2 linked regions of the Macaca fascicularis genome follow. The protein of the gene in region 2 interacts with the protein of the main gene of each other region in a pairwise test. Links are inferred from orthologs where the notes say so. Each region holds a gene or a part of one and is shown on either strand. Other genes may lie near its edges.

Region 1 (10,667 bases), on a different chromosome or scaffold from region 2:
ATTAGCTATTCTTCCTGATGTTCTCCCTCCCCTTCAACCCCACCCCCACAGGCTCCAGTGTGTGTTATTCCCCACCATGTGTCCATGTATTCTCATCATTCAGTTCCTACATATAAGTGAGAACATGCAGTGTTTGATTTTATTTGGGGCTTCTTAAGCCACTAAAGAAATAGGCAGAGGACAGTGTTCCTATATTGGCTGAAGTGATATATTCCTATTATCAAGGAGACTTTGATTGCTGGTACATAATGGGGAGCACAAGGACTGTGCCTAAAACCCAAGGAATATACTGGACAGATTCCTCATTCTCACTCCCCAGTAACAATGGTCAATGTATTAGGAACATTAAGAACACTGATCCTTCAGGAATAAAGGGTCATCTCACCAGGAAAAACTAAGGTACCATCAGTGAGTGAAGGGAATCTGCAATGAGTGGCAGCTTTTGTCATAAAGGCAATCACCAAGGTGGCAACTGTAGCAGCTATGAATATGTTACGTTAATCTCTATATTATTGAACATTATCAAATCAACTCTGTGGTGTATGTGTTTATACCTCTATTTAATATATGAGTACACTGAAGCTTAGAAAGATGGGCACCTAGTAACTCACAGAATCATCACTGAATCCATGCCTTATTATGAGACCCTTGTTCTTCTCTACCCCTCCCAACAATGGCTTATTCAGTGCCTGCAAGAAACACGAAGGGTCTGCAGGGATGTGAAGCAGTCATTTTCTGAGTGTCGGCAAATTCAGATACAGGTCTCCTTCATTTGTTGTGGTTGTTGTGGTTGTTGTTTTATTCTGTTTCCATTCTGCTTTCTGGGATTCTTCATGTTCCTGGAATCAAATCTGAGTACAGCAGTACAATATGAACCTTAGCTGTCACCTGATAGCCTTTCAATGAGCAAAAATTCTCTTAAGAGAACTGGAAATATCAAAGCATGAAGTGTTTTTCAGTTTTCTAAATCCATAATCAATATCAAGGAAAGTTCAACTGATGTTTTTACCTTACATTATAAGAGATAAAAATAAATAAAAAGACAGGATATCTGAGTTGGAATGTGTTGAGAATTCTAGCCTCTCCAAACTTCCTCCTCTTCTCTGAAGTTCATGGCTACATCCCTACCAGCTGCCCTACAGCGTCTGCTTAAACCGACAGGGCAGTCTGTTTTCTCTAGGATATCATTAAAATGAGGGTCTTCCCTGGACCTTTAACTCTCATGCACCTATGTCTATCTGTCACCACAAGCCAGTCACTTCACTCCATTTAGCTTCAGTGTCCTCCCCTGTAACACAAGTATGATAACCTCAAAGTCACCCAATGGTTGTGTGGCTTAAACAAAATATAACCTGACATAGCAGCATTATTGACAGTAACCAAAAGGTAGAAACAACCTAAGTGTCCACAGATAAATACATAAACAAAATGTGGTATACATTTCCCCTCCTTTTGAAAAAGGTAGGAAATTCTAACACATGCTATAACATGGATGGACTTTGAGAACTTTGTGTAACTGTAATAAGTCAGTCGTAAATGAACAAATACATTATAATGCCACTTATGAGGCACCTAGAATAGTCAAATTAATAAAGAAAATAGAATGGTGGGTGCCAGGGGCTGTGGAGGAGGACAAAATGAGGAGTTGTTGTTTAATGAGTGTGGAATGTGGTTTAGGATGATAAAGTTCCGCAGGGCTGGGCACTGTGACTCATGCCTGTAATCCCAGCACTTCGGGAGGCCCAGGCGGGTGGATCACGATGTCAGGAGTTTGAGACTAGCCTGGCTAACGTGGTGAAACCCCATCTACACTAAAAGTACAAAAATTAGCCACGCATGGTGGTGGGCATCTGTAATTCCAGCTACTCAGGAGGCTGAGGCAGAATTGCTTACACCTGGGAAGTGGAGGTTTCAGTGAGCCGAGATCGCGCCACTGCACTCCAGCCTGCATGACAGAGCAAGACTCCATCTTGGGAGGAGAAAAAAAAAAGTTCTGAAGATGAAGATGGACGGTGGTGGTAGCAGCACAATAATATGAGTATACCTAAAGCTGTTGAACTGCACACCTTAAAAATGGTTGAGGTGGCTCAGAGATAAAAGGATGGTTCAGCATACACATCAAACAAGGTGATACATCATATCAACAGAATGAAGGACAAAAACCATATGTTCATTTTAACTGATGCTGAAAAAGCATTTGGTAAAATTCAACATCACCATTAAAAAAAAAAAGCTTGGCCGGGCGCGGTGGCTCACGCCTGTAATCCCAGCACTTTGGGAGGCCGAGGCGGGCGGATCACAAGGTCAGGAGATCGAGACCACGGTGAAACCCCGTCTCTACTAAAAATACAAAAAATTAGCCGGGCGCGGTGGCGGGCGCCTGTAGTCCCAGCTACTCAGGAGGCTGAGGCAGGAGAATGGCGTAAACCCAGGAGGCGGAGCTTGCAGTGGGCCGAGATCGCGCCACTGCACTCCAGCCTGGGCGACAGAGCGAGACTCCGTCTCAAAAAACAAAACAAAACAAAACAAAAAAAAAGCTTGAAAAACCGAGTGTAGAAGAAATATACCTAAACATAATAAAAGCCATATATGACAGACCCACAGCTAATATCATACTGAATGGGGAAAAACTGAAAGCCTTTCCTCTAAGATCTGGAACAAAACAAGGATGCCCACTTTCACCACTGTTATTCAACATAGTACTGGAAGTCCTAGCTACAGCCATCAAACAAGAGAAGGCAATTAAGGGCTTCCACAATAGGAAGGAAGAAGTCAAATTATCCTTGATTTCAGATAATATGATCTTATATTTGGGAAAGTCTAAAGATTGTCATTTCTAATAGTTTTTTGAGGAAACAAATTCAGAAAACTTGTAGAATACAAAATCAACATACAAAAATCAGTAGCATTTCTACATGCCAGGAGCGAATAATCTGAAAAGAAAATAAAAGTAATCTCATTTACAATAGCTACAAGTAAAATTAAATACCTAGGAATAAACTTAACCAAAAAAGTGAAACATCTCTATAATGAAAGCTAGAAAAACATTAATGCAAGATGTTGAAGAGGACTCAAAGAGTTTTAAAAAAAAAATTCCACGTTCATGGATTAGAAGAATCACTATTGTTAAACTGTCCATAATACCGAAAGTAATCTACAGATTCAATGCAATCCCTATCAAAATATCAATGACATTCCTCACAGAAATAGAAAAAAAAATTCTAAAACTTATATGGAATTACAAAAGACCTAGAATAGTCAAAGCTATCCTGAGCAAAAAGAACAAAACTAGAGGAATCACATTATCTGACTTCAAATTATACTATAGAGCTATAGTAAACAAAACATCACCGTAATGCCATTTAAAAAGACACATAGACCAATAGAAAAGAATAGAGAACCCAGAAACGAATCCACACATCTACAGTGAACTCACTTTCAACAAAGGTGCCAAGAACATACAATGAGGAAAGGACAGTCTCTTCAATAAATGCTGCTGGGAAAACTAGATATCCACATGCAGAAGAATGAAACTACAACCCTGTCTCTTACTATATATAAAACTCAAATCAAAATGGATTAAAGACTTAAATCTAAGGCCTCAAACTATTAAACTACTACAAGAAAACACTGGGGAAACTCTCCAGGACATTGGACTGGGCAAAGATTTCTTTCAAATATCGCATAAGCACAGGCAACCAAAGCAAAACTGGACAAATGAGATCACATCAAGTTAAAAAGCTTCTACACAGCAAAGGAAACAATGAAGTGGAGTGACAACCCACAGAATTGGAGTAAATATTTGCAAACTATCCATCTGACAAGAGATTAATAATCATAATATATAAGGAACTCAACTCTATAGGAAAAAAATACAATAATCTGATTCAAAAATGGACAAAAGATCTGAACAGACATTTCTCACAAGAAGACATACAAGTGGCAAATGGGTATGTGAAAATGTGCTCAACACCACTGATCATCAGAGAAACGCAAATCAAAACTACAATGAGATATTATTTCACCTCAGTTAAAATGACTTTTATCCAAAAGAAGGGCAATAACAAACGCTGGCAAGGATATGTAGAAAAGGGAACCCTCATACACTGTAAATGGGAATGGAAATTAGTACAATCACTAAAGCGAACAGTTTGAAGGTTCCTCAAAAAACAATTAAAAATAGAGCTACCATATGATCTAGCAACCCTATTGGATACTGCTAGATATATACCCAGAAGAAATACTGTTAGATATATACCCAAGAGAAAGGAAATCAGTATATCAAAGAGATATCTGCACTCCCATGTTTACTGCAGCACTATTCACAGTAGCCAAGATTTGGAAGCAATATAAGTGTCCATCAACAGATAAATGGATAAGGAAAGTATGGTACACATACACAATGGAGTACTCTTCAGCCATAAAAAGAAGAAATTTTCATTTGCTACAAGATGGATGGAATTGGGGATTATTATGTTAGGTAAAATAAACCAAGCACAGGCAAACAAACAAACAGTTATGTTCTCACTTGTTTGTGGAAGCTAAAAATTAAAACAATTGAATTCATTAAGATAGAGAGGATGATGGTTACCAAAGTCTGGGAAGGGTAGTGGGGCAAGGGTGCAGGGGATGATTAATGGGTTCAAAAATACATGACATAGAATGAATAAGATCTAGTGTTTTATAGCATAACAAGATGAATAGAGTCAATAATTTATCATTTTAAAATAACTAAAAGCATGTAATTGGATTGTATATAACACAAATGATAAATGCTTGAGGTGATGGACAGATACCCCACTTACCCTGATGTGATTATTACGGATTGTATGCTCTACCTGCATCAAAATATCTCATGTACCCCATAAATATATACACCTACTATAGACACACAAAATTGAAAATTAAAAAATTACTTTGGTAAATTTTATATTCTGTATGTTTTACGATTAAAAATAAAAATAATATAACCTGAGAATGTCCCTAGCTCAGTGACAAGAACACAGTTGATTGTCAAATGTCAATTCCCTTCTCACCACTCACTGGTGGGACACTTACCTTGGGGTCATGTGAAATAAATCACTCACCTGCAAGTGTTAAAAAAATATTAGTCACATCAGTCACATGAAAATAATTAGCTTCTGGAAGTAAGCAGATGGTGGCACGCGAGGAAGAGCACCGGCCACTCCTCTGCATCAGAAACTTCCTTAAAAGCAGCTTCCAGACATGCACATAGCATCTAGGTGTGGGGTGATGACCAGTGTCAAAGAAAGTAGCCCGGACTCCCCCGTCATGTAGATATTTTACCAAACCGGATAATGAAGACATGGGAGGGAGCGCGCACCCAGGACCACGGGCTACTGAGTTTCCACTCCTTACCAGTCTCAGAGAAGCCCCCTGGGCGTCCAGAGCCTCTGAAGCCTCCCCCAGTCCAACTCTGACTTCTCTCCTCTCACCTCTCTACCTTCTCTCCTCCCACCTCTCTTGCTTCTCATCAGCATTTCTCCACACAAGGCTTTCAAGGCTCTGCTCCTCCCACTGCTCCTCCCTCACTCCTCCCACTCTCCTCCTCCTCCCTCCCCTTTCCTCTCAGACTTGCCTCTGAGCGGAAACTGAAAGTGAAATAGGGAGCTGGCTACCAGCGTTGAGTCCCCTGTAAAGGTGAGTGAACCCCACTAGATCAAGGGACCCCTGCCCTCCTAGGGGACCTCTCTCCCCTGCCCCAGGGTTGCCCAGCCCCTTCAATCAGTCTCCATCCTTGAGCCGGTCCCATTTGCCCCTTCTCGCACCAGGGATCCCTCAACCCAAGACCAGCTGTGCTTCCGGCGCTGGCCCCCTACCTGGGAGGAGGCTGGGGTGTGGACATGACTGCCGAGTTACCCAGAAGGGGAAGGGACCCGGCTGCCCCCTTCCTGGGAGGAGGCTGGGTTGTGGACGTGACTGCCGAGTTACCCAGAAGGGGAAGGGGCCCGGCTGCCCCGATGCTGGCACGTGACCTGGGATGAAGGCTGGGTGCGGCTGGGAGAGCCAGGACTACAGCCTAGCCAGGACGGGTAGGGAGCTCATGTCGGGGAGGTCTGCAATTCTGGAGATTCCCAGGTCCAAAAGTCCTCCAGAGGTGAGAGGGGAAGGCTGTTTAGGATGTTCAACCAGAAATGTATTCAAAATTATTCTTTGCCCTAGAATAAGTGTTGTCAGGAACTAAACTAAGTTTGGAGCAGCTGAGAAAAGAGCCCAGGGAGTGCTGGCCACAGTTCCTGTTGCTCTGTGTGTATACATACATATACACATGCTTGTGTATATACGTATACACCTACATACCTATATACACCTGACATCTGCCGTTATAGGAAGTATTAATGAAGATATATTCAAAGCATGAAGTATGTCTGGCACATGGAAGGTACATGGTAAAAAGTAGCTATAATTTCTCAGCAGCATGGAGGCCTGTTGGTACCAGACAGGAGATGAATGAGCACTGAGGGTTTAAGCAGGAATGGACATGATGAGAGTAGAACTGTCAACAGCTTTATGAGGTTCTTGCCAATTTTCACTCCCTCTTTTAGGGACTTAGTGTCTCCTTCTGTCTCACTGGATCAATGGACCAACAATGGAGGAGTTCTTGTTATTCAGAACAAGAATAAACTTACTCAACAAACTATTTGATCGGTGTAAAAGTAATTACTGTTTTTGACATTAATTGTTTTGCCATTAATTTTATGCCTTTTATTTATTTATTTATTTATTTATTGAGAGGAAGTCTCACTCTGTTGCCCAGGCTGGAGTGCAATGGCAGAATCTCGGCTCACTGTAACCTCTGCCTCCCAGGTTTAAGCAATTCTGCTGCCTCAGCCTCCTGAGTAGCTGGGATTACAAGCGCCCACCACCACTCCCAGCTAATTTTTGTATCTTTCGTAGAGACGGAGTTTTACCATATTGGTCAGGCTGGTCTTGAACTGAACTCCTGACCTAAGGTGATCCACCCACCTCAGCCTCCCAAAGTGCTGGGGTTGCAGGTATGAGCCGCCGTGCCTGACTCATTATTTTTATTTTTCTTTTTTATTTTCCTTTGTGTCATTTTGTTTTTCTTCTTTTTTTAGTTTATTTTTAACTTTTGTGGGCACATAGTAGGTATATTTATGGGGTATATGGAATATTTTGATACAGGTATACTATGTGTCATAATCACATCCGGGTAAATAGGGCATCCATCACCTCAAGCATTGATCATCTGTGATACAAACTATGCAATTATACTCTTAGTTTTCAGTGTACAATTAAATTATTGACTATAGTCACTCTATCGTGCTATCAAATACTAGATCTAATTCACTCCACTTTTGTACTCATTAACCATCCCACCTTCCCCAACACACACACACCCTCCCTGCTACTCTTCCCAGCCTCTGGTAACCATCTTTCTATTTTATCTAACTCCATGAGTTCAATTGTTTTAATTTTTAGCTTCTACAAATGAGTGAGAACATACAATGTTTGTCTTTTGGTGCCTAGCTTATTTCACTTAACATAATGACCTCCAGTTCCATTCATGTTGTTGTGAATGACAGGATCTCATTATATTTTATGACTGAATAGTACTCCATTGTGCATATGTACCACATTTTCTTTATCCATTTATCTGTTGATGGACACTTAGATTGCTTCCAAATCTTGGCTATTGTGAAACATGCTGCCGTAAACGTGGGAATGTAGATATCTCTTTGATATACTGATTTCCTTTCTTTGGGGTATATACTAGCAGTGGGATTGCTGGATCATATGGTAGCCCTATTTTCAGTTTTTTGAAGAACCTCCAAACTGTTCCCTGTAGTGATTGTACTAATTTACCTTCCTACCAATAGCGCGTGAGTGTACCCTTTTCTCCACACCCTCCCCAGCATTTGTTATAGCCTGTCTTTTGGATAAAAGGCATTTTAACTGAGATGAGATTATATCTCATTGTAGTTTTGATTTGCATTTTTCCGATAATGATGTTGAACAACTGTTCATATGCCTGTTTGTCATTTGTGTGTCTTCTTTTGAGAAATGTCTATTCAGATCTTTTGTCCATTTTTGAATCAGATTATTATTTTTTTTCCTATAGAGTGGTTTGAGTTCCTTATATATTCTGGTTATTCACCTTTTGTCAGATGGATAGTTTGCAAATTTTTACTCCAATTCTGTGGGTTGTCTCTTCACTTTGTGGATTGTTTCCTTTGCTGTGCAGCGCCTTTTCAACATGATGTGATCCCATTTGTCCAAGTTTGCTTTGGCTGCCTGTGCTTGTGGGGTATTTGAAAGAAATCTTTGCCCAGTCCAATGTCCTGGAGAGTTTTCCCAATGTTTTCTTGTAATAGTTTAATAGTTTGAGCCCTTAGATTTAAGTCTTTAATCCATTTTGATTTGATTTCTGTATATGGTGAGATATAGGGGTGTAGTTTCATTCTTCTGCACGTGGATATCCAGTTTTCCCAGCAGCATTTTTTGAAGAGACTGTCCTTTCCTCATTGTATGTTCTTGGTACCTTTGTTGAAAATGAGCTCACTGTGGATGTACGGATTTGTTCTGGGTTCTTTATTCTACTGGTCTATGTGTCTGTTTTTATGCCAGTACCATGCTGTTTGGGTTACTTTAGCTCTACAGTATAATTTGACATCAGATGATGTGATTCCTCCAGTTTTGTTCTTTTTGCTCAGGATAGCTTTGGCTATTCTGAGTCTTTTGTAATTCCATATAAATTTTAGGATTTTTTTTCCTATTTTTGTGAAGAATGTCATTGGTATTTTGATAGGGATTATGTTGACTTTTTGTTTTTCTTACACAGACTTTCTCATATTTTCTTTTCCCTTTCTTTTTCCTCCCAGCCAGCCCTACTAAAGGGCTTAACAGTACGCTTGACAATGGCTTCAGCAGCACGCTTGACAATGATGTGGGAGGAGGTCACGTGCCCTATCTGCCTGGACCCCTTCGTGGAGCCTGTGAGCATCGAGTGTGGCCACAGCTTCTGCCAGGAATGCATCTCTCAGGTTGGGAAAGATGGGGGCAGCGTCTGTCCTGTGTGCCGGCAGCACTTTCTGCTCAGGAATCTCCGCCCCAATCGACAACTAGCCAACATGGTGGACAACCTTAGAGAAATCAGCCAGGAAGCCAGAGAGGGTGCACAGGAGGAACAGTGTGCAGTGCATGGAGAGAGACTTCACCTGTTCTGTGAGAAAGATGGGAAGGCCCTTTGCTGGGTGTGTGCCCAATCTCGGAAACACCGTGACCACACCATGGTCCCTCTTGAGGAGGCTGCACAGGAGTACCAGGTGAGGCCTTAGAGACACAAACAGGAGGAAAGAAGATGGGCCCTGGTGAGTGCTTTGCTTTCAGAGCAGGGAATGGGAGAGGACCACCTCTGGATTGGAGGGGTTAGAGAAAGGAGGAGTTTACCTCTCTCCATGTCTAATGTAGAAGGAGAATTATAAGCTAAACCCAACCTCATTCTCCAGGCGTAGGCGATATGCATGAGAAAATGCTGCAAGGATTACCCCACCCTATTACTTGGTTTGCATGGGGACTAATATGCTGTCTTTCTCTGCAGGAGAAGCTCCAGGTGGCATTAGGGGAACTGAGAAGAAAGCAGGAGTTGGCTGAGAAGTTGGAAGTGGAAATTGCAATGAAGAGAGCAGACTGGAAGGCAAGAATGACATCCTGAAGGGGATCTTAGGCTAGAAGGTTGGGCAGGGTCCAGGGTCCTCAACTCACAGCCTTAACTGTAGCTGTGCCTGTCTGAGCTGTGATAGAGTTGGTCCGTCTCACTCTCCAGAAAGCACCTGCTCTCTAGGTTTACAGATAGATGGGAATAAAAATGATGCAGGTTCAAAGGGGAGCTCCCCATCAGGCCTGAAGATCAAGAATCCTGGAAGAAGGTGCTGAGAGGATCTAGCTATACCCTAAAGTTTTGAGCTCCTCTGAGTCTAGTCTCAGAGGTGTGACGGCATCAGCACCTGGATGTCTGAGACAAATATCCTAGGAGAAACCCAACTGCTAGCTAAGCCTTTCAGGAAATGACAAGGCTGTGAGAAATAGACTTAAGGAAACCATCTGACCAGGTGGTTACTTGACCATGACCAGATCTCTGGTCCCAAATATAATGAAGAATCCATGTTTGTTCTGCACTGATCATTTCCAAGGAGACGTGGAGCATGTTGGGGATGAGAGGGGAGAGGAAGGAGCCCATCCCCAGTAGATCCCAGAAAAGAAACATTTGGGATTGAGGTAGGGTGTGAGTTGGGTTGTGGTGACAAAACAGACCCTCATGTCATCGAGTGACCTTCCAGTTACTAACAGGAGATGAAAAGCAAAGAATGTCCCCAAGCCCCCTTTCCCAGGACTTGGAGGTGGTGGTGTCAGCCTGGCTTTGTGAGGTTGTTGGAGGTGGGAACAGGTGTTTTTTTTCTCAGTAACTCACTGAGACAGGAAGACACAGGGGCACATTTGAGTGGTGACTGGGTTTGGAAGAGAGGTTGGAAAAAGTCCCCAATGCCGTATATCCATGTAGCTGTGGTTGTAGGCCAGCTACAATGTGCCCTCACCAAGTCCATTCCCCTCACTGTCCCGGAAACTTCACCTACCTCCCAAGCAAAATTGTGTGTGTGTGTGTGTGCACATGCTTGTGTGTGTGT
Region 2 (10,712 bases):
CTCCCCTCTGCCACAGCTCAGCCCTGTGCCCAGCCTGCTTCCTTCTCAACCAGAAATGCCCTCGGTGGGGACACAGCTGTCACCCCAACCTTGCCAGCACCACCTTCTGAGCTCAAGTCCGCACGGGGCGGGGGCCAGGCCACAGCTGGGGATCTGACCTGTTGTCCGCAGCCCGTGACAAGGGCGGCCGTCACAGACGGCAGGGGCTGAGCAGTTTCCCTGTGGCGTTGCCACACGCATCTGTTGAGCCCCGACAGGCAGGAGGCTAGCAGCGCGCGCCTCTTACCCCTTTCTTTCCTGGAATGGCGCACTCCCAGTTCATGAGGTTCATCGTGCCATCGGGATTTTTTGTTGGGACAGCCACGAAACCCTGAGAGAAAACAACCACAAAAGCACATCAGTGCGGTGGCATCTCGTTTGACCAAAACCACTGAGAACCGGCCCGCGAGCCCCACCAGCGCGACCCAGGCACGCGGCCAGCTCCCTCCCAGTGGGGGGGGGCACGGTTTCAGCCCAGGGGGGCCGTCCGCGGCACTGCACACGGAAACGAAGCCCTCCTTACAAACGGGTGGTCTTTCCTCCATGCTTTCCTCTCCTGGGCGAGTCTGCTGAGGGCGATCCCCGACATGTTCAGAGTCCCTGGAACACAGGAGGCAGAGCACGGGGTCAGGACAGGCTAGCGGGCTCCTACCGCCCCGCCACGTGCACACGGCCCGCAGTGGGCAGTCTTGCTCCTAACAGGCGCCAGCCCAGCCCAGCAGAGACTCTCCTCCTGGAAGCCGTCGTCCGACCCCGGGGTCTACCAGGGGAGGCCTCATGAGTGGATCCCAGATCACCGGGGGTGGGGGGGCAGGTAGGACCCCTTCCCCATGGGCCCCCCGAGCCCTGGTCTGCGACACGTGCCGTGGCCTCTGCTCCACGGTGGAGACGGATGTTCAGAGGCTGGGCCACTGTGGCTGGGCGGTAGCTGCCACCCTGTGGTGGCTGGCGTGGCAGGGTCCTCACTGAACCGTCAGGTGGGGACTAGGCAGGGCTGGGTCCCCGCCTTACTATCAGGCGCTCAGAACTGAGACTCAAGCCGGGCCAGGGGGACACCTAATATTGTTGTTTTTTTTTTTTTTTGAGATGGAGTCTCACTCTGTCCCTCAGGCTGGAGTGCAGTGGCACTATCTCAGCTCATTGCAACCTCCGTTTCTTGAGTTCAAGCAATTCTCCTGCCTCAGCCTCCCGGGTAGCTGGGACTACAGGCCCCCGCCACCATGCCCGGCTAATTTTTGTATTTTTAGTAGAGATGGGGTTTCACCGTGTTGAAGACAGAGTGGAACAAGTACCACAGGGCAGAGGCTCAGCCTCGCTGAAAGAGGAGCCCCCCACAGGGCCACCGTTCCCGGACCCTGCAGACGCTAGCATGTCCCTGTGGCTTCAGGGGACAGACGGGTCCTGTGGGGCAGGGCAGGAGCATGGGGTACGGGACCAGGTCCCTGGTCAGAGGCAGCGGCACACACGCCAGATTCCAGCTCCACACTTCTGCACGGGACCTCAGGGGCTTGGCACCTTTGCCTTCTGGTTCCCAGCGGGAGCCTGTCGGCCCGCACTGTCCCCGGGGACACCAGGCAGACAGGGCCAGCAGCCTCGACACCAGCCTCACCTGTCACCCTACTGGTGGTCACCTTTACCATGAAAAACAGCACTCAGGGCACAAAACCTGCCAGAGAATTCAAACCCAAGTGTGTGCTGGTTTTCAAAGTCCACGGGAACACTGAAGCTGCCTCCAAGTCTGGCATCTCAGCGCCAAGCAAGGGCCACCTCAACAAAGCTGGGGGCTGCGCCAGGCCTTCCAAACTGTGGGGGGGCCGTCCCTACAAGGGCCCTGGTGACCTGGATGGCGCCCGCACCTGTGCAGGCCCACGAACCTCACACACCTCACAGCTGCAGGGAGGGGCCAGGTCAGCAGCTCCGCCTGGGCCAGAGCCGCCGCAGCCTCACCTGGCACTTGTTAGGGAGGCAAGGCCCAGTCCCCAGCAGACTCATTGAGGAAGGAGCTCCGAGAGGCCCACATTCAGGTTTTGGGCGGCGCGATGGCTTCCCGAGGCAGCAAATCAGAAATCAGGGGTGGGGCTGGGATCAAGGAAGCCCAGGCGGGTCCAGTGTCGCCAGGGAACCAGGGTGCTGGAAGCCAGGCGGGGCTGCTAGAGCCGCCTGCCCTGCAGGTGGATTTGGCTCCTTTTTAACCAAACACGGATCCTCAGGGCAGCCTGAGAAAAATCAGGCAAAGGAACCCGGGTCCTCCAGTCAGTAGGTGCTGGCATCACAGCGAGAGGGTGACAGGGGCCATCCAGGTACTGGCCTCCAGCTACACGATTAAGTCCAAGACAGGTAGCCCCAGACTGGGCCCCACCGGGATGTCCCTCCCCATACCCTCCTCACAGGGATGCGGAGGAGCCCGCAGGCCGCCTGCCCTCTGGACCACTTGCCCATCCCCATGCCCTTCTCTAAGTGGGGGTGGGGGGAAGCCAGGGGCCAGAAAGGGAGAAAGTGGGGGACACAGCTGGGCTCAGCTGTGGGCAGGCAGGGTTCGAGCCCAGAGTGGAGTGGAGCTCCCGCCAACCACGGTTTCAAGGCTCTCTCTGCACGTGTCTCCACCCTCCACTTCCACATGGAGCAGCTCAGTTGTGGCTTGAGGACTCACAGCTCTCGCTTCCCCAGCCCCAGGGTGGGCTTCATGAGTAGCCACAGCCTGTGCCTGGTGCGGTGCAAAGCAGCCTGGTGAACGGCCGTTTTGAGGAGCCACGACCTCCCAGGTGCCCGGGGTCTGAGCGGGGCCAGGAATCAAGCAGGTCTCTGAAGCCCCAGGCCAGTGCTCCAGACACTGAAGGACCATGGCCAACACGATCCTCACAGCCAGGCAAGGCCAGGCCCCAGAGAGGCCAGCCCCAGAGAGGCCAGCCAGGCCTGGGACCCTGCCACAGGTAGCCCTCCTACTGAAGACCGGACAGAGCCACCTAGAGGCCCCCGTCCCAGCACCTAGCTATTGCTGTCTCAGATGTGAGAAGTCGTGAGGGTGCTCCTGTGAGACCTCCCGCCAAGGTCTGGCTGATGCTGCTGTATCCCCTGCCCCAAAGCACTCAGCACCACGGGGTGGTCTCACAGGAAACTGCACCACAGGGCAAGGAGCCACAGGTGCACACCCACCCTGTCCTAGGCAGAAGCCAGGCCCCTCCCCCTGCTCCCCCTCCTACTGGCCTCCTGGAGAAAGTGGCCAATGTGTTACAATGTAATCACAACACAGACGAAGCATTCAAAATCCCGCTGAAAATCGAATTTGCCCTTCCAAATTAACAGATAAGCACTAAGTGAATGGCTAGCAGTTACTAGACCCTTCAGAGCAGGGAACTTATATGAGGCAAAGACAAAAACAACCCTCATCTATCAGAGCCAAGCAAGGCCCAGACACTGCAGCAACCAGGACAGGGCCAAGCACTCCAGGAGTGGCCTGAAGGTCTGCCTTCTGTCCTGCTGGGCACCCGCGACCGGCTGAGCTTTAGCTTCTCGGATCACCACCTTGCTCTGCTGGTTGACAGCACCGACTTCCGAGCAACTTCCTGGCTGAAGGTGAGCAAAGCACTCACCTCTCACAACTCCACCGCACTCATCTCCACAACGGGTGGTCGCCACGACGGCTGGCACAAGAAGCCTGTAAAGGTCCTCCTGCACCCAAACGCAAACTCTCCCAGGCTTGGGGAGGTATTCCCTTCTGCAAGACCCAGGCACCTGCAGTCAGGAGACGCTCACCTGGCCGCACCTGATCTGCCCCAGGCCCCCAGAATGTTTCTGAAGCAAGATCCCAAACCCTGACACATCACACAAGCGCACACCTTCAACCACCCAGTGGTCTAGGGAAGGGACCTCTGAAGGAGCAATCAGGACAAACTCAGGTCCCGTCCTGTCTTCCGCTGCGCAGCTTCTCTACCCAAACGCAATGTTTCTTGTTCTTCAAAAAACATTCGGCGTAGGTCCTATAAAAGGAAACAAACCGAACTCCCCAAAGACAGGCACTTTGCAAACAGAGAAACAAAGCGTAACTTCCAATTATAAAAACGAAACCACTTCATTCTGCGATTCAAGCGTGACTACAGGCCACGATCACAAGCCCAGCTAATCACTCCCTTACCTTCCTCCCACGCACGTTAACTACCAGAGCCAACCACTATTCAACCGGTAAAAACCCATCCCCAAAACAATAAAACTCCCTCCAGCGAGGCGCTCACGTTCAGGGCCCCAGCAAGCGCCAGGGCAGCATCTTCAGAGGCGCAGGAAAACTTAAGACTTGTTTTGGTTTCAAGGCACCGAAAACAAGCCCGCTCGCCGGCCCCCACCCCCGCGAGCCAGCGGTGTTGCAATCCAAGAGTCTCCCCCGCGACCCATCCCCTCCGTCCGCGGGGCGACAGTGACCCCGGAAGCCGCTCCCCGCGCAGAAGGAAGGCGCGGCCTCGCGGGGCCCCGGCTGCAGGTGGCTGCCCCGGCCCCGCGCCAGGAGCACCTCGGGGGCGAAGTGGGGGAGCCCCGGCCCCCAAGGCCTGCGGCGGCCGGGGCGCTCGGGCCGCAGCCCCGCGGCGCCAGCAGCGCGGACCGAACCGGCGCCGAGCGTGGGGCCTCTCGGGCTCCCCGGGAAGCTCGGCCGCGGCGCGGGGCCCGGCTCGGCGGGGCGGGGCGCGGGGCAGCCGGGGGCCCGGGCCCGACAGGAGTAGAGGCCTCGGCCCGACCCCCGCCCCGCGGCCCCGGCCCGGCCCCCGCCCGCGCTCACCTCGGGCGGCCGCGGCCCCGGCGAGCGTCGCGGACAGGTGGAAGACCGAGCGGGGCGGCGGCGGCGGCGCTTCCCTTTGTCTCGGGACTTCCCTCCGGAGCCCGCTCCGCGCGCAGCCCGAGCAGCTCCGAGGACCCTGGCGCGGGCGGGGCGCGCGGGGCGGGGCCTGGTGCAGGGCTGCCCTCTGCACGCCTGCCTCGCGCGCTGCCACCGCCGCCCGGCCCCGAGCACCGCCCGCGCCGCCGCGCGCCCCCCGCTGCCCGTGCCCCGCCGCCGCGCGCCCGCGCCCCGGGTCCGCCCCAGGAGCCCGGCCGGGGGGGTGACTTTTCAGTCAGGCGGCGCCCTGGACACCTACGCCCTTAAAGGAGCCGCGTCCCCGATGTGAGGGAGCGTCTGTAAACTCCCCTTCGGGGTGCCCGCGTCCACCCGAGGACACGCCGGCGAGCAGCGGGGGATAAAGGAGGCCGAGATCTCCAAAAGCTCCCCGGATGCCCGGCGGTCACCTCTCCAGGCACAGGTCTCCGAGGTTTCCTTGGGGTCAGAGCCTGGGGCCGGGGGGCAAAGACCACTGAGGCCTAAGGATTCCCAGAAGCGTCGCAGGACGGTGACGCTCCCGCGAGTTCAGCGCCCTGTGAAACCTCTTGCAATTGGCCATTTCTGGGCGGTGGGCGGAGAGACCTTCTCATCTGCCCAATGAGCCGACCCCGTACAAAAGGCCGAAAGCGAGCATGACCGACGGGAGGAGAAGTGTGGATGCTCCCTAATCCGGGGGCGGGCCCTGGGCGGGGGCGGGGCGTGGGGAGACTACGAGCGGCGGGGGCGGGGCGAGCCCTTGGGGGAGGGGCGCTTCCGGGCAACAGCCCCCCACCCCCCGCCCACGCAACTCCCGAGACCGGTCGAGAGGCCCCCAGCCCCGCGAGCGCGCGGGATACTCCGTTCGCCAACGCGCGGTCGTGCTGGCCCCGGGGCTCTCCCGGTCCCCCCGCCCCCCATTTCGCCGACGGCGGGGCCGCCGCCAAGGTCACGGTGTCCGGGTGCTTGGGGACCGCGGGGACTGACCACATTCATTCATTCCCTCCCTCATTCATTCATTCCCTCCCCCACTCACTCATTCCCTCTCTCCCTCATTCCCTGCCTGACTCATTCATTCAATCCCTCCATCACTCAATCATTCCTTCCCTCCCTCACTCATTCCCACCCTCATTCATTCCCGCCCTCATTCATTCCCGCCCTCATTCCCTTTCGCACTCATTCCCTCCCTTACTGCTTCATTCATTCCTTCTCTCCCTCACTCATTCCCTCCTTCATTAATTCCCACCCTCCCTCATTCCCTCCATCATTCATTCCTTCCCTCCCTCACTCATTTCCTCCCTCATTCATTTGTTCCTTCTCTCCCTTACTCATTCCCTCCCTCACTCATTCATTCCTCCCTCCCTCATTCCCTCCCTCACTCATTCATTCCCTCCCTCACTCATTCCCTCCCTCACTCATTTCCTCCCTCGTTCATTCGTTCCTTCTCTCCCTTACTCATTCCCTCCCTCACTCATTCATTCCCTCCCTCCCTCATTCCCTCCCTCACTCATTCATTCCCTCCCTCACTCATTCATTCCCTCCCTCACTCATTCCCTCCCTCCCTCACTCATTCCCTCCCTCCTTCACTCATTCCCTCCCTCCTTCACTCATTCCCTCCCTCCCTCCCTCATTCCCTCCCTCCCTCATTCCCTCCCTCACTCATTCATTCCCTTCCTCACTCATTCCCTCCCTCACTCATTTCCTCCCTCCTTCACTCATTCCCTCCCTCACTCACTCATTCCCTCCCTCCTTCACTCATTCCCTCCCTCACTCATTTCCTCCCTCACTCATTCCTTCCCTCATTCATTCATTCCTTCCCTCCCTCACTCATTCCCTCCCTCCCTCATTCATTCCCTCCCTCACTCATTCCCTCCCTCACTCATTTCCTCCCTCCTTCACTCATTCACTCTCTCCCTCACTCATTCCCTCCCTCCCTCATTCCTCCCTCCCTCACTCATTCCGTCACTCATTCCCTCCCTCACTCGTTCCTTCCCTCATTCATTCATTCCTTCCCTCCCTCACTCATTCCCTCCCTCATTCATTCCCTCCCTCACTCACTCATTCCCTCCCTCACTTATTCATTCCTTCCCTCGCTCATTCATTCCCTCCCTCCCTCATTCCCTCCCTCCCTCATTCATTCCCTCGCTCACTCATTTATTCATTCCTTCCCTCCCTCACTCATTCCCGCCCTCACTCATTCCTTCCCTCACTCACTCATTCCCTCACTCATTCATTCCTTCCCTCCGTCACTCATTTCCTCCCTCATTCATTCATTCTTTCCTTCTCTCACTCATTCCCTCCCTCCCTCATTCATTCCCTCCCTCACTCATTCCCTCCCTCACTCATTCATTCCCTCCCTCACTCATTCCCTCCCTCCCTCATTCATTTCCTCCCTCACTTATTCATTCCGTCTCTCACTCATTCATTAATTCCCTCCCTCACTCATTCCCTCTCTCACTCATTCACTCCCTCCCTCCCTCACTTATTCCCCCCACCGCCTCCCACAGGGTCCCCAGCAGGCACTCCCCCGGCAGGGACCCGCAGCAGGAGGGGCGGCCACGCACCCTGGGTCCGCCTGCCCAGGAGGCGTAGCCGCAGGGGTGGGGGTCCAGGGCAGCAGGGGCGGCCTCCCCCAGACTCCAGGCCCTGGGACCTGCACACAGCCCTGTCCCACCAAGACCAGCACGGGCCTGGCCTGGCTGCGCATCCCAGGCTCAGAGCCACCGTGGCCTGTCTGGACACCTGTTCTCCCGGCCCCCAGCCTTGAGGTCCTGGGAATCTGCTTTTTTTTTTTTTTTTTTTTTGTGAGATGGAGTCTCACTGTGTCGCCCAGGCTGGAGTGCAGTGGCACCATCTTGGCTCACTGCAACCTCCACCTCCCGGGTTCAAGCGATCCTCCTTCCTCAGCCTCCCGAGTAGATGGGATTACAGGCGTGCAGCAGCACACCTGGCTCATTTTTGTATTATTATTAGAGATGGGGTTTCACCATGTTGGCCAGGTTGGTCTCAAAACTCCTGACCTGAAGAAGTGATCCTCCCGCCTCAGCCTCCCAAAGTGCTGGGATCATAGGCATGAACCACCGTGCCTGGTTGAAATCTGCATTCTTTTTTTTTTTTTTTTTGAGACGGAGTCTTGCTCTGTCACCCAGGCTGGAGTGCGGTGGCGAGATCTCGGCTCACTGCAAGCTCCGCCTCCCGGGTTCACGCCATTCTCCTGCCTCAGCCTCCTGAGTAGCTGGGACTACAGGCACCTGCCACCTCGCCCGGCTAGTTTTTTTCTATTTTTTTTTTTTTTAGTAGAGACGGGGTTTCACTGTGTTAGCCAGGATGGTCTCGATCTCCTGACCTCCTGATCCGCCCGCCTCGGCCTCCCAAAGTGCTGGGATTACAGGCTTGAGCCACGGCGCCCTGCCGAAATCTGCATTCTTAACCAGCACCCTGGGCAAGCCTGGCGGAGGGATATGGCCCTTTGGCTTCCTGGCATGGGCTAAGTTTCCAACGCCATCTTTCTGGCGAAGATGCCGGCACAGGGCTGTGTGGGGAGCTGTCAGTCAGTAAAGACCATGGTCGAAGGAAAGCAAGGAGAGCCATGGGCCTGGGCGGATCCCGCTCCAGCCTCAGGCACAGAGAGGGCAGGGCTGGCGACGTGGGGGGTTTGTCATAAGTGGGGCTTGAGGAGACTGACTGGATGTGGTGTGTGGCTGGGGAGGGCCTGGGCCTGAACCTGTGGGCCATGGGAGCCATAGAAGGTTATGGAACAGGAGAAGCAAGATAAGGCCCTGGTTCCCTGTATGTGGTGGTGAGGGATTGAGGAGACATGGCTCAGGTGCTCAGAGAATTCTCGTCCTGGTGGGAAGTAGTGCCGGGAGGGGCTGGGGTTTGGGGAGGCTGTGGCAGGTGGGGGCGAGGGGCATGGAGCAGGCGGGGGTGAGGGGCATGGAGCAGGCGGGGGAGGGGGACATGGAGCAGGCGGGGGCGAGGTGCATGGAGCAGGCGGGGGAGGGGGACATGGAGCAGGCGGGGGCGGGGGACATGGAGCAGGCGGGGGCGGGGGGCATGGAGCAGGCGGGGGCGAGGGGCATGGAGCAGGCGGGGGCGGGGGGCATGGAGCGGCGGGGGCGGGGGGCATGGAGCGGGGGGGGGGCGGGGGGCATGGAGCGGGGCGGGGGCGGGGGGCATGGAGCGGGGCGGGGGCGGGGGGCATGGAGCGGGGCGGGGGTGGGGGGCATGGAGCAGGCGGGGGCGGGGGGCATGGGGGGGGTGAGGGGCATGGAGCAGGAGGGGAGGGAAGAGGCTCCCTCAGTTGTGCATCCTCAGCCCAGAAGTGTTCTTTGAGCAGCCTGCACTTGGCACACGTGTTTTCAAAGAGAGGGGACCTGTTGGGTCCAGCTTCCTGGGTACAAAAGAGAAACCGAGGCTTGGAGAGCGTGGGGGGTTTGAATCAGTAACTATACGATCCTGGGCAAAGCTTGTGGCTGACTGTGCCAGGCACGCGCCCACCTTTGCCGCGGTCCCCTTGGGAGGGGAGCAGGAAGTGTGATGAGGACCCCCAGTGTCCTGGGTGCCCCCTCTGGGGCCTGCTGGGGCCAGGCTCTGCACGCAGGGGTTTGAGAGCAGAGGCCACTCCCCCAGAGGAAGAGGGGCCTCTGCAGTAGAGTGAAGGTGGACCCTTACCCCGGAGCAAGCACAAAAACCAGCTCAGAAGTCAGCCTCGGACCAGGCGCGGTGGCTCACGCCTGTAATCTCAGGTCTTCAGGAGGCTAAGGCGGGCGGATCGCTTGAGCTCAGGAGTTTGAGACAAGCCTGGCCAACATGGGGAAACCCCATCTCTACTAAAAATACAAAAATTAGCCGGGTGTGGTGGTGCACACCTGTAATTCCAGCTACTTGGGAGGCTGAAGGAGGAGAATCTCCTGAACACGGGAGGCAGAGGTTGCAATGAGCCGAGATGGCGCCACGGCACTCCAGCCTGGGCGACAGAGCGAGACTCCCTTTAAAAAAAAAAAAAAAATCACACATCTGAGAAGGAGTTAATATCCAGGATAATAGGCTAGGTGGGGTGGCTTACGCCTGTAATGCCAGCACTTTGGGAGGCTGAGGCGGGCGGATCACTTGAGGTCAGGAGTTCCAGACCAGCCTGGACAACATGGTGAAACCCTGTCTTTACTAAAAAATACAAAAGTTAGCTGGGTATGGTGGTGTACACCACCCCAGCTCCTGGGGAGGCCGAGGCACGAGAATCGCTTGAACCCGGGAGGCGGAGGTTGCAGTGAGCTGAGATCGTGCCACTGCACTCCAACCTGGGCGACAGAATGAGCTCCGTCTCAAAAAAAAATAAAAATAAAAATAAAAATCTGGGATATAGAAAACCCCTACATCAATAAGAAAATGGCTCTGGAGGGCTGCGTGTGGAGGCTCACGCCTACAATCCCAGCACTTTGGGAGGCCAAGGTGGGCGGATCACCTGAGGTCAGGAGTTCAAGACTAGCCTGGCCAACATGGTAGAAACCCGTCTCTATTAAAAATACAAAAGTTAGCCGAGCATGGTGGCGGGCATCTGTAATCCCAGCTACTCGGGAGGCTGAGGCAGGAGAATCACTTGAATCCGGGAGGTGGAGGTTGCGGTGAGCTGAGATCATGCCATTGCACTCCAGCCTGAGCGACAGAGCGAGACAGCGTCTCGAAAAAAACAAAACCGCAGTGGCTCACACTTGTAATCCCAGCACTTTGGGAGGCCGAGGCAGGCGGATCACGAGGTCAGGAGATCGAGATCATCCTGGCTAACACGGTGAAACTAGAAATACAAAAAATTAGCCAGGCGTGGTGGCGGGCGTCT

What was found.
Region 1: the proteins of UBE2I (region 2) and TRIM21 interact in a two-hybrid assay, tested with the Homo sapiens proteins (2 studies listed by BioGRID). The two-hybrid records come from large-scale screens. The link is inferred for Macaca fascicularis from reciprocal best matches to the Homo sapiens genes UBE2I and TRIM21.

What each region holds. Positions count from the first base shown.
Region 1 is NC_088388.1:69,998,323-70,008,989, forward strand, and holds the start of TRIM21 (E3 ubiquitin-protein ligase TRIM21), read left to right. Parts: upstream 1-5,614; 5' UTR 5,615-5,661; intron 5,662-8,864; exon of another isoform or gene 8,865-8,868; 5' UTR 8,869-8,900; coding exon 8,901-9,308; intron 9,309-9,583; coding exon 9,584-9,679; intron 9,680-10,667. UniProt on the Homo sapiens protein: E3 ubiquitin-protein ligase whose activity is dependent on E2 enzymes, UBE2D1, UBE2D2, UBE2E1 and UBE2E2.
Region 2 is NC_088394.1:2,050,588-2,061,299, reverse strand, and holds the start of UBE2I (SUMO-conjugating enzyme UBC9), read right to left. Parts: upstream 5,434-10,712; 5' UTR 5,160-5,433; intron 4,943-5,159; exon of another isoform or gene 4,805-4,942; intron 640-4,804; 5' UTR 629-639; coding exon 563-628; intron 371-562; coding exon 287-370; intron 1-286. UniProt on the Homo sapiens protein: Accepts the ubiquitin-like proteins SUMO1, SUMO2, SUMO3, SUMO4 and SUMO1P1/SUMO5 from the UBLE1A-UBLE1B E1 complex and catalyzes their covalent attachment to other proteins with the help of an E3 ligase such as RANBP2, CBX4 and ZNF451.